Linked DNA regions of Macaca fascicularis. The protein of the gene in region 1 interacts with the protein of each later gene in a biochemical or structural test. Links are inferred from orthologs where the notes say so. Each region holds a gene or a part of one and is shown in the gene's direction. Other genes may lie near its edges.

What was found.
Region 2: the proteins of MAP3K7 (region 1) and USP29 form a complex in vitro, tested with the Homo sapiens proteins (2 studies listed by BioGRID). The link is inferred for Macaca fascicularis from reciprocal best matches to the Homo sapiens genes MAP3K7 and USP29.

The regions. Positions count from the first base shown.
Region 1 is NC_088378.1:84,780,871-84,787,658, forward strand, and holds the start of MAP3K7 (mitogen-activated protein kinase kinase kinase 7), read left to right. Parts: upstream 1-2,526; 5' UTR 2,527-2,734; coding exon 2,735-2,854; intron 2,855-6,788. UniProt on the Homo sapiens protein: Serine/threonine kinase which acts as an essential component of the MAP kinase signal transduction pathway. Plays an important role in the cascades of cellular responses evoked by changes in the environment.
Region 2 is NC_088393.1:64,939,722-64,946,607, forward strand, and holds USP29 (ubiquitin carboxyl-terminal hydrolase 29), read left to right. Parts: upstream 1-2,508; 5' UTR 2,509-2,524; coding exon 2,525-5,263; 3' UTR 5,264-6,153; downstream 6,154-6,886.

The DNA.
Region 1 (6,788 bases):
GACATGAAATTGTGAAGTCAAGCTTCTATCCTTTATTCATGAAAGTTAAAGGAAATGCAAAGTCAAAATTGAAGTGAACTGAGAGAGGTTCAGTTCCCCTCCATCATTCCTCTGCATTTAAACTTTATTACTTAGGATTATTTGGTTGCAAGATAATCCTGCATTTTTTGTCATACAAAAAATGCAGCTGGGACCAGCTTAAATGAAATGGTAATTTACTAGCTCACATAACCAAATCACAGAATGTGAGCGATGGATTGAACCTTGGGAATGACTGAACCCAGAGACATAAACACTGATGAAACTTTCCATCTATTATCAGAAGCTAGGGAAAAGGCGCAGGCAGACAAAAAAGAAAAAAATAATCTCCAAGCAAGTTGGACAAAAATTGATTTTAGACTGGCATCAATATCAGAAGTCCAAATCAGTGGATAAAACACAGAAGTGTTGGGGTAGAAGATATTCAAAATCATGTAATCAATTCACTTCGAAATGCATCTAGCAAAATGGTAGATGGATGTAAATACGGATGAATGGAGAGATGCACATATGTATATTATGATAAACATTCTTTCAACCTTTCTCTATATTTGACATTTTTGTAACAAAATTTTGGGGAAAAATAATCAAGCAGGAGAACTGCATCATGGCTGTAGTAATTAGCCCTTTGTCAAGATTCCAGTCCTAAACTGAAGGTACAGAAAACATGTCTTATACTCCAGGGAAAGGGAGGACTGACAAAAGCTATTCATTTGTACAGAATATGTAAGTATTTATTGAGTTCCCACCTGGCAGCAAGATCAAGGTGTTAAAGGGAAATCAGATATAGACCTGCAGTTATAGCACAAGGTAAGAAGTGACCATCCTTGTTTGGAAATGCAAGGGGAATGACAGGTGAAAATGACTGTGCCACTGATTAAATCAGCTTATATTGGGTATCAGTGCACCACACATCATTTCACATGCCCTGACTTCTCAGACAACCAACTGGGTGATGGCATCCTTACGTGATATAGGAAAATCACATAGAAATATATTTGTGGTGGGTGACAACTTTTGAATTTGCTGTGGTATCTTGAAGTTTAGTTGTTTATCTAAATAGAGATGTCCAATAGGTCCAGAATTCAGGAAAAATCTTGAGTATTCGGAGATTAGAAGTCATCATTATAAAAATGGTATGAGAAACAGAGACCTTGGGTAAGATCATGCAAACAAAGAGTGTACAGTGGAAAGAAATTATTGCTTCTTTCATTTTTTTATCCACTCATCAAACTGTCATTGCGAGTCACTAGAACTGTGAATAAAAAGTGACAGAACGTTTCCAAGAAGTTTGTAACTTCTTGATGGTCAAATCCAATGATCTAGTTGCAATCCCAAATGTGTTTAACATAATTCTGTACAGCATATACTTGGTTGGCTACTTCTTCATTGGAAAGCTCACCTCTGGTGATGTTCCAATTACTATTTTCCTCACTTCCTCCTTTCAGTCTCTTACTGAAACTTAGAATTTGACATTCGCAGGAATCCATCCTTGGTCTTTAAATCTTCATCTCTAACTCCAATTTTCCACAGTTAGGCTTTATGTCAAACGGACTATATAAAGTTCAACAGTTAGTTTAAAACTAAAACTTGTGCTGGTAGTACAACATGAGCAATACTGACCATCTTGGGGACAGATTGATCTAGTTTGTAAGGACCATAATTGCTTTAAACTCTGAGTGTATTTTCTCACGTCCTGAAAATGGTGATGAAAATATTTGATTTTCAAGGAGACTGTTGATGATTCATTTACCAATCTAAAGCACTAGTGCCCCGCACTCGTAATCCATAACTTGAGATGAACACACCAAAGTGTAAATATCTTATCCACCTAATCTGTGTAAAGTTTGTAACACCAAAATATTAACTTCTGTTTTTGATCACTCAGCCTCCATAGTTATTCATGTTGCATGATCTGATTCGCTCTTTTAGAATTTCTCATAGCGTCAGGGACTAGCTCAAAGTAACAGGAGCAACTGCTTCCTTCCATATCCCACATTGAGGAAAACACATTTTGCAAGCCGTCTTAAAGAAACAGGTCAACTTAGTTGAGGGATGAAACTTAAAAGCAAGCTTCGTCACAAAAAACACAGTTCAACACCACCTCGCCCGTCTGCTGGCAGCTCAAAGGAGAGAAAGAGAGGCCAAGACATACTTCACACAGCAGAGACTAAACGCCAGCTTTTATCTTTCCCGCTGGTCCTTAAGGGACCAACCGTGCTGATTTTCCGTCATGTTCCGCGCCACTTCCGTTCGCGCACTTTAATTACGTCAGGCGTCCTCTCTCGCGGTATCATCCGGTTGCTGAGGCCCTGTAATAAAGGTCTCGCGAAATTTGTTCTAGAGGTCCAAGCTTGCTTCTTAGTTTACTCCACCCCACCCCCAACCTGTCCCTCCTTTTCTTTCCAAGTCACAAAATTCTCCCCTTCCCTCCCCCGGAGTTTACGGCCCACCTCCTGTTTCCGATTTCAGCCCGGAACCGGAAGTGTAGTGGGCGGGGCCCAGCGGCGGAAAACGCAGCGGAGCCAGATCCGGACCCGGCTGTGGCCGCTGCCGCTATCCCCGCCACGGATCGCCGGGTAGCAGGACTGCGCGGCTCCAGCCTGAGGGTCGGTCCGGAGGCGGGTGGGCGTGGATCTCACCCGGATTGTCCGGGCGGCACCGCTCCCGGCCCCACCGGGCGCCGCGAGGGATCATGTCTACAGCCTCTGCCGCCTCCTCCTCCTCCTCGTCTTCGGCCGGTGAGATGATCGAAGCCCCTTCTCAAGTCCTCAACTTTGAAGAGATCGACTACAAGGAAATCGAGGTGGAAGAGGTGAGCGAGGCCCTGCATGGAGACGCCGGTACCGGCCCGGCCCGCCCCTGCCTCTGTCTGGTCCCGGCTCTGAAGGTGCCTCCCCGGCCCCTCTAATTCGCGGGACCCTGTGGGGTCCACCCGGGAGACCCAACAGCCTTCACTGACGTGGGAGTGGGGGTTACTCTCTGAGCTCAACTGCTTGGGAGTAGCTGCCTTTTTTCCTGTCTTGAGTACTCTTGCTTTTGGATTTGATATTCCGGTGATAAACAGGAGAATGAACTGGTGAGACAGTGTGGTCCTCCAGTTCTCGTATCTGTAAGTAGTAGTTTCAGCGAAGATCGTAGCCGTTCTGGAGTTTCAGTCCGCTGGACGTGAAGTTCTTAATGGCCAATAATTGTATTATGTTCGACTTCTACTTCAGTATCTGGCATGTAGGGGATGCTCAATAAATGCTTGTTAAATTAGTAGATCATCAAGTCTAATAAAGTGTTTCCCTTAGCATCGAATGGTTCTCAGTTTCTCCGATACCGCACAGCAATACTCGTAATGTTTAAACGCTCGGCTTTCAGTTGGGCTAACGTAGGTGAATTTCACCATAAGTAACACAGACTGGTCTACGATCAAAAGATGTTTCAAGTAGCATATTCTGAAGAGATAACGAATGATCGGTGACAATCAGAATATAACATTAGACTGGAAATCGCTATCAGAAAACCCATATCCTTTCTTTATTCTGCAGTAATTCATTTTAGAACAAGCTATTTCAAAGTGACTTTAAAGTGTTGCTTTTCAGATTAACAGAGAGGTAAATTGGGTTCTAATGACTATAAAATTTAGAAAAGTAAAAGCTGCATATATATTTTTTAAAGAGACTTTAGAACTTGTTAAAAACTTTGGCTGAAAATACTATATCTTACCATTTATTTGCCGTTTTTTTAATTTATTAAGCACTTGCGTTATATATCCCGTGAAAAACCTAGTGAAATATTATAGATTGTCAACAAGTTATGTCTACTTTAAAATTCTAAAATTATTTTTAAGTGTCAGCAAGTTCGAAGTAGTGAGATAACGTTCAACAAATAAATTTTTTTTTCCTGTGCATGTTTTGGAAGAGTAATGGATTACTGAATTATATACTTTTTATCACATAAAGTAACTTTAGAGATCATTGAGAACATCCTCATTTTACAAGATAATATGGTGGGAAAAGCAAGGTCTTTGGAATTAGAGGAAAGTTCAATGTATCAGATATGCCATTATTAGCTGTGTGATTTGGGGCAAGTTTCCTAACCCCTTTGAATTTTAGTTTTAGAAAGGGCTAATAAATTCTGTTTCATCTTATCTGCATAACAGATCTTAGTAGACATTATATGCAAAACACCTACCACAGGGCCTGACACATATTAGGAAACCTAGTTCCAGAGAGGAAATGTGACCTGCTTTAAGGTCACATGGCTAAAAGAAGACCTGTATTTTGAAAAGAGGGGGGAATGTTTTTAAGTTTTTTTTTTTTACATTGAGGCTATGATAAATTCCTTTTCCAGAAGTGGATAGTTGATCCAACTTTCATGGCTAATATTCTTTTTTAAGAATAAAAATTCCATGAGTCAGTATACAAGAATTGCAGTTTTTAAATAAGCGTTTACGTCTCCTCTGTGGTGAATTGCTATGCTTGTAGACTACAAATTGTTATATAATAATAACTTGTGCTTTATGGTCTACCAAATGCTTTCACAAACTTACTTCATTTGGTTCTTACAACCTTAGTTTTTGTATGCTACTTTCTAAAGCTTTTTACATTCTTGATTCATGGAAAAACAAATTACTAAGGAGGTAGTTATCATTTTGATGTTCTTCCCCTAAAGCTATTTCACTTCTGGTTAGGTTTCTGTGTTTCCAAGACCCTTCTCTCAATTTAGATAATGTTTCAATCTTTGTGTGTATGTGGGTGTGCGTGTGTTTAGGACATTTCTGGGGAGTAGGATTTTGTTTTTAGACGAAAATTTGTTTTTAATATTAGGCAGTCATTTGGGTTTTTTGTTTGTTTTATTCCCCTTCATTTTTAATACTCAGTTCATTTTTGCATTAAAGATTGTATTTGGATCTTTCTGATATTGAAAGCATTACATAATTTCCATCATGTTCTTCATTTGCATACATTAAACCAGTGTTACACAATCCAGAGTGAACCAAGGACACTTATTAGCTATTTGTCAACTTAGATTACACTTCCAGTTCAGTTGTAAGATAACAGAGGAAGATGACCAGAAACAAAAACTACTTTATGTTGCTTTCAATATTTTATATTGTATGAGAATATTACCTTCTAAATTAAGAAAATCATATTATGTATTTCTCAATATAATTGAATTGCATTATATCAATATAATTAGAAACTGTAAAAAAAAATAATTCAACCACAGGCCAAATATGCAATCATTTAGTAGATACATATTTCTAAGACATCAGCTGATCTTGCATTTCTAATATTGTAACTCAATAGTATTAGTTTGTCACATCTTAGATTCAGTTCAGTTCAATCAAATTAGGTAAAGTCTCAGCCTCAGAAATCTGCCTAGGTACTTTTTAAAAGTCATTTAGTGTTTACCATCTAGATCTGGCTGTAAAGAATATTGGAATAAAAGAGGGGATGGGTTGCAAGAAGTGTTACACAGGGTGGTATAGTGGAAAGTGTTCTGGACTGAAAATTAGAAAATGTAGATGCTGTACTGATTCTGCCATAATATATTTTTGTAACTTTGAGGAAGTCACCACGTTTTTCTGGGCCTGTGGTTACTTATGTAAACTGAGGGATTAAACAAGATCATTTAAGGTCTTTTCCAGTTCTAAAATGAAAACACATTCATTTTTTCCAGTATTTAACTGTTTTCTACAGTAACCTTAGAAGTTCTTTACGTACAGTGATCATGGTCTCCTGTAGAATTTAGTTGGTGACCAACTAATCCTGGGTTGACCTGGCAAATGATATACCATTTTACAGATCTTGACAAGCAGTCATAGAGTTTGACTTGCCAGAAGCTGCATGCCTAAGTAAATGGTAAAGCTGGGAATTGAATATGAGATTTCTCACTTGTGAGTCAGTTGCCCTTTCCACTGGATTTACAGTGTCACTCAGTACTTTCTGAAGTACTCTATAAACAAACCTAACATGGGAAAGGGGAAACAAAAAACTGATTTCCTTTTTAGTGTACTTGGTCCTGAGCATTTAATGAGCATTCTCATCTGTGCATAATACTCTGAGGTACTATAAAAGATGAATAGGGCTTGGTGCGATGGCTCCCACCTATAATCCCAGTACTTTGGAGGGCCAATGCGGGCAGATCACTTGAGGCCAGGAGTTCAAGACCACCATGGCCAACACAGAGAAACCCTGTCACTGCTAAAAATACAAAAATTAGCTAGGTATGGTGGCACAAGCTTGTAATCCCAGCTACTTGAGTGGCTGAGGCATGAGAATCATTTGAACCCAGTAGGCAGAGGTTGCAGTGAGCTGAGATCACACCACTGCACCCTAGCCTGCACAACAGAGCGAGACTCTGTGTCAAAAAAAAAAAAATAGATGACAGAAGAATCCTAGGATTACCTCCTTAAAATGTCTGACTTAGTATGATATGAGACTGGAGTAAACACAAAACAGTTAACCATAGACCACAGATTTAAAACTGTGAATATAGTGTAAATTAAACACTTAAGCCATAATTTGAAAATAGAGTTAATAACAGAAGGTTCCATTGAGTAGGGACAAGTTTAAAACTAGGTTTTGAATAAGGTGACCATCATGGGTTGGGAAAGTCACTAAGATGAATTTTCTTTGCAGTTGTTCCTCTGCCTGAAGTGCTGTTCCCCCAGAACTTAAAATGACTGACTCCTCACCAATCAAGTCCCACCTCAAATGTTATTAATACTTCCTTAGAGAAGCATTCCCTGAGCA
Region 2 (6,886 bases), on another chromosome or scaffold:
CCTTTGTAGGTAACCTGACCTTTCTCTCTGGCTGCTCTTAACATTTTTTTCCTTTGTTTCAACCTTGGAGAATCTGATGATTATGTGTCTTACGGTTGCTCTTCTCAAGGAGTATCTTTGTGATATTCTCTGTATTTCCTGAATTTGAATGTTGGCCTGTCTTGCTATGTTGGGGAAGTTCTCCTGGATAACATCCTGAAGTGTGTTTTCCAACTTGGTTCCCTTCTCCCCGTCACTTTCAGGTACACCAGTGAAACGTAGGTTTGGTCTTTTCACGTAGTCCCATATTTCTTGGAGCCTTTGTTCATTCCTTTTCGTTTTTTTTCCTCTAGTCTTGTCTTCATGCTTTATTTCATTAAGTTGATCTTCAGTCTCTGATATCCTTTCTTCCACTTGATCGATTTGGCTATTGATACTTGTGTATGCTTCACAAAGTTCTCTTGCTGTGTTTTTCAGCTCCATCAGGTCATTTATGTTCCTCTCTAAACTGGTTATTCTAATTAACAATTCCTGTAGCATTTTATCAAGGTTCTTAGCTTCCTTGCATTGGGTTAGAACATGCTCCTTTAGCTCAGAGGAGTTTGTTATTACCCACCTTCTGAAGCCTACTTCTATCAATTCGTCAATCTCATTCTCCATCCAGTTTTGTGCCCTCCTTGGAGAGGAATTGGCGATCATTTGGAGAAGAGACATTCTGTTTTTTGGATTTTTCAGCGTTTTTGTGCTGGTTTTTCCTCATCTTCGTGGATTTATCTACCGTTGATCTTTGAGGCTGATGACCTTTGGATGGGGTTATTGTGTGGGGGTCTTTTTTGTTCATGATGTTGTTGCTTTCTGTTTGTTAGTTTCTCTTCTAACAGTCAGGCCCCTCTTCTGCAGGTCTGCTGCAGTTTGCTGGGGGTCCACTCCAGACTCTGTACACTTGGGCATCACCAGTGGAGGCTGCAGAACAGCAAAGATTGCTGCCTGTTCCTTCCTCTGGAAGCTTTGTCCCAGAGGGGCACCAGCCTGATGCCAGCCAGAGCTCTCCTGTGTGAGGTGTCTGTCAACCCCTGTTGGGAGGTGTCTTCCCAGTTAGGAGGCACGGGCATCAGGGCCCCTCTTGAGGAGGCAGCCTGTCCCTTAGCAGAGCTGTTGTGCTGGGAAATCCCTCTTATCAGGATCAGTTGCTCTCTTCAGAGCCACCAGGTGGGAAAGATTAAATCTGCTGAAGCTGTGTGCCCACAGCCACCCCTTCCCCAGCTGCTCTATCCCAGGGAGATGGGGATTTTATCTGTAAGCCCCTGACTGGGACTGTTACCCTTCCTTCAGAGATGTCCCGCCCAGTGAGTAGGAATCTAGAGAAGCAGTCTGGCCACAGCTGCTTTGCCACGCTGTGGTGAATTTTGCCCAGTCCAAACCTCTCACCCTCCTTAGTACTGTCCAGGGAAAAGTGTCTACTAAAGCCTCAATAATCACGGATGCCCCTCCCCCAACCAAGCTCCATCATTCCAGGTCAACTTCAGACTGCTGCACTGGCAGAGTTTCAAGCCAGCGGTTCTTAGCTTGCTGGGCTCTGTGGGAGTGGGACCTGCTGAGTGAGACCACTTGGACCCCTGGCTTCAGTCCCCTTTCCAGGGGAGTGAATGGTTCTGTCTCACTGGGGTTTCAGGCACCACTGGGGTACAAAAAAAAAAAAAAAAACTCCTGCAGCTAGCTCGGTGTCTGCCCAAACAACTGGCCAGTTTTGTGCTTGAAACCCAGGGCCCTGGTGGTGTAGGTACACAAGGGAATCTCCTGATCTGCAGATTGCAAAAACCGTGGGAAAAGCGTAGTATCCGGGCCAAGTAGCACAGTTCCTCACGGCTTCCCTTGGCTGGGGGAGGGAGGTCCCCGGCTCCTTGCACGTCCCAGGTGAGGCAATGCCCCACCCTGCTTCTGCTCACCCTCTGTGGGTTGCACCCGCTGCCTAACCAGTCCCAGTGAGATGAACCGGGTACCGCAGTTGGAAACGCAGAAGTCGCCCCCCTTCTGCGTTGGTCTTGCTGGGAGCTGAGACCGGAGCTGTTCCTATTTGGCCATCTTGGCCCCTCCCCTTTTTTAAATTTAAAAAAGTTTATGTAGCGATGAGGTCTCCCTATGTTGCCATGCTGGTTTTGAACTTCTGGCCTCAAGTGATCCTTCCACCTTGGCCTCCCAGAGTGCTAGGATTACAGGCATGAGCCACCATGTCCAACCAAATTTGTATTTCTCGATGAGCAGTGATGTTGAACACCTGTTCATCTCTCTGTTGGCCATTTGTATCTTCTTTCTCGTCTAACAGCTCCCTTGAAAGAGTGTGTGCCCTCAGTCTATGTCTTCTACAGAACTGGCGTAGCTTCAGAATACGAGCAGTTCCCCAAAAGAGTGTTTTACTTAGAGCATAAGAAGACGAAAAATAAATCATTATTATATGTGGATGAGGTTTTTCATAAAATATAACTGTTAATATATTTTTGGTTAAAATGCATGTGTGCTTTTCTTCTTTAGGTTACATAAAGAAAGGATGATATCTCTAAAGGTACGTGGATTCATCCAGATTTGGAGCCAGAGGACTGGGATGACTAAGTTGAAAGAAGCTCTCATTGAAACAGTGCAAAGAAAAAAGGAAATTAAACTGGTGGTCACTTTCAAATCTGGAAAATTTATAAGAATTTTTCAGCTGAGTAATAACATTAGAAGTGTGGTCCTTAGACATTGTAAAAAAAGACAAAGTCACCTGCGTTTAACTTTGAAAAACAATGTGTTCTTGTTTATTGACAAATTATCCTACAGAGATGCTAAACAGTTGAATATGTTCCTGGACATAATACATCAAAACAAATTTCAGCAACCCGTGAAACCTGATGATGATTGGAGTGTGTTTGAAAGCAGGAATGTGCTGAAGGAAATTGACAAAACTTCATTTTACGGGATTTGTAACAAGCCAAGTTATCAGAAGATGCCTTTGTTTATGTCAAAATCACCAACACATGTGAAAAAAGGGTTATTAGAAAATCAAGGTGGGAAGGAGAAAAACCCACTAGCATCTGGTCTACAGATGAATGAGGACATTCTGAAGGAACATAACCCTGTACCAAACAAGAAATATAAGACAGATTCCTTGAAATATATACAAAGCAATAGGAAGAACCCATCAAGTTTAGAGGATTTAGAAAAAGCTAGCGATTTGAAACTCGGGCCTTCATTCAAGACCAACTCTAATGGACATCCTAACCTAGATGAGACTGTTCTTGCAACCCAGACTCTCGATGCCAAAAATGGTTTGACATTTCCATTAGAACCAGCGCACAGCCAGGATGACCCGAGATGCAACGAAGCCCAGGTGCCTCTTGACTCTCATTCAGAGCAACTGCAGCAAGGGTTCCCCAATTTGGGAAACACCTGTTACATGAATGCAATTTTACAATCGCTGTTTGCAATTCCGTCTTTTGCTGATGACTTACTCACTCAAGATGTCCCATGGGAATATATTCCCTTTGAGGCTCTTATTATGACCTTGACCCAGCTGCTTGCTTTGAAAGATTTCTGTAGTACAGAGATCAAGAGAGAATTACTTGGGAATGTTAAAAAAGTCATTTCAGCAGTTGCAGAAATATTTTCTGGCAACATGCAGAATGATGCGCATGAGTTTTTAGGTCAGTGTTTAGACCAGCTGAAAGAAGACATGGAGAACTTAAATGCCATTTTGAATACTGGGAAAAAATGCGGGGATGAAAATTCATCTCCACAAATGCATGTTGGTAGTGCTGCCACCAAAGTGTTTGTTTGTCCTGTTGTTGCTAATTTTGAGTTTGAATTGCAGCTCTCCATTGTCTGTAAAGCCTGTGGTCATGCGGTTCTCAAGGTAGAACCTAACAATTATCTCTCCATCAACCTGCACCAAGAAACAAAACCACTTCCTTTGTCCATTCAGAATTCTTTAGATCTTTTCTTTAGAGAAGAAGAGCTTGAGTATAACTGTGAGATGTGTAAGCACAAGAGTTGTGTTGCAAGGCATACATTTAGTAGGCTCTCCAGGGTCCTTATCGTTCATCTGAAACGCTATAGCTTCAACAATGCTTGGTTGCTGGTGAAGAATAACGAGCAAGTTTATATTCCCAAATATTTAAGCTTATCTTCTTATTGCAATGAAAGCACCAAACCACCTCTTCCCTTGAGCAGTAATGCACCTGTTGGGAAATGTGAAGTCCTGGAAGTCTCTCAGGAGATGATTTCTGAGATCACCAGCCCATTGACACCATCAATGAAGCTGACCTCAGAATCCAGTGATTCCCTGGTTCTACCCGTTGAACCAGAGAAGAATGCCGACCTACAAAGATCCCAGAGAGACTGTGGAGAAGAAAGCCAAGAGCAGCATCAGGGAGACCTGGAAAATGGTTCTGCACTAGAGTCAGAATTGGTCCACTTTAGAGATAGGGCAATAAGTGAACAGGAGCTTCCAGTGGCTGACTCACTGATGGACCAGGAAGACATTTCTCTTCCTGTGATATGTGAAGATGGAGGGAAGCCGATCAGCAGCCCAGACACAAGGCTTGTCGAGGTTCATCTTCAAGAAGTGCCTCAACATCCAGAACTTCAGAAGTATGAGAAAACCAATACATTCGTAGAGTTTGATTTTGACAGTGTCATGGAGTCTACCAATGGCTTTTATGAGTGTAAAGAAAACAGGATTCCAGAAGGATCTCAAGGAATGACTGAACAGTTCCAGCAGTGTTTTGAGGAGAGCATCATAGAGGAATTTCTTCAGCAGGCACCACCTCCAGGTGTTAGGAAACTGGATGCCCAGGAACATGCAGAGGAGACCCCCAGTCAGTCTACAGAATTAAGACTTCAGCAGGCTGACCTGAACCACCTCGAGGCATTGGGTTGTGATAACCCAGGAAACAAAAACATTTTAGATACAGAGAACACAAGAGGTGAAGCCAAGGAACTGACAAGAAACGTGAAGATGGGGGATCCTCTCCAGGCCTACAGACTCATCAGTGTTGTCAGCCACATTGGGAGCTCCCCAAATTCAGGCCATTACATCAGCGATGTGTATGACTTTCAGAAGCAGGCCTGGTTCACATACAACGATCTACGTGTATCAGAAATCTCAGAGACCAAAATGCAGGAGGCGAGGCTTCACTCTGGGTATATCTTCTTCTACATGCACAATGGGATTTTTGAGGAGCTTTTAAGAAAGGCAGAGAACTCTCGGCTACTTAGCACACAGGCAGGAGTGATCCCTCAGGGGGAATAAGACGACGACTCTTTGTACAGAGCTGCTTGGCAAACTCACTCGGCCTCACTTCATCCTTGCAAGAAGAATCCTGTACTTCACTCAGAATGAAGGAACAAGTATCTCAGGATGAAAGCTCAATGAAAAACACTTATTTTGGGGTATATCTATTTTAACTGCTTCAGACACCTAGATCCCAGAACTCAGGTGCATATGCATATTTTCCCTACAAGATTAGAATGGTGCTCTTCATGTGTTGACACAATGGTTTTCAAAATGTTGTTCTCCCACCGGCAACAGCAGCAGCTAGGGACTGATTAGAAAAGCAAATTCTTGGGCCCCCTCCAGACCAACTGACTCAGAAACAGGAGGTGTGAGCCAGCAATCGGATGGAGATGCTAGTGCTCATGAGAGTTGGAAGAACACTGGTAATGTGTGGAGTATCTTGGTGTATTTTGCTACTGTTGATATGGATTGTTTATGTTAGATAAATGATTTTCACTGGATTTTTTGCGTTCCCTTTATTTTGTCCCACTGAACCTAAGACTAGGTAAGAGTCACTCCAAAAGTGGCAGCAGGGAAATTCCAACAAGAGAGTGCCCAAAACCATTCTGAGATCAGGCCAGTTGCGATTCCAAAGAAAGAAGCACTAAACACCAGAGGGATCTGTCCGGAGCATTTATGAGGGGAACTTAGAGAGTGCTGCAGCATATCCTCAGGCGGACAGTGAGAGAAAAAGCATGGCCAACTGGCTGGGCACTGTCACTCATGCCTGTCATCCCAGCACTTTGGGAGGCCAAGGTGGAAGGACTGCTTGAGCAGACGAGTTCAAAGTCAGCCTGGGCAATATATCAAGACCCTGTCTCTACAAAAAGTAATTTAGCAGCCAGGCACAGTGGCTCACACCTGTAATCCCAGCACTTTGGGAGGCCAAGGCAGGCGGATCACCGGAGGACAGGAGTTCGAGACCAGCCTGACCAACATGGTGAAACCCCATCTGTACTAAAAATAGAAAATTAGCTGGGCATGGTGGCGGGCACCTGTAGTCCCAGCTACTTGGGAGGCTGAGGCAGGAGAATCACTGGAACCCAGGAGATGGAGGTTGCAGTGAGCCGAGATCACACCACTGCACTCCAGCTGGGGCAACAAAAGCGAAACTCCATTTCAAAATAAATAAATTTGCCAGGCATGTCTCAGCTACTCAGGAGGCCGAGGTGGGAGGATCACTTGAGTCCGGGAGTTCAAGGCTGCAGTGAACTATGATCGCACTCCAGCCTGGGTGACAAAGACCCTGTCTAAAAAAAAAAGGTGGAGGATGGTCTACCTTGGTGTGTCTGCTGCCGTGAGACCGTCAGGGTATGGGGTTTATATAAGTTTATAAGGAATTTGGTCGAGGGCCGGGACCAGTTTCTTTTAGTGTTTTGGGCAGCAACCTAAACCTAAATACCTCTATCAGTGCCTGGGATTGTTTTAGGCTCTGGTTTGGATTCAAGCCTTCTGGGAAGAACCTGCAGCTTGGCTGGTGAGAGTGGTCAAAGCACTCCATGATTTTCAGTCAGGACACAAAAAGAGCAGGGGGGAATAGTTTTCCTTTGTAAAGTTACGAAAATAATAACCTCACCAATACATTGGCTGGCTTCCACA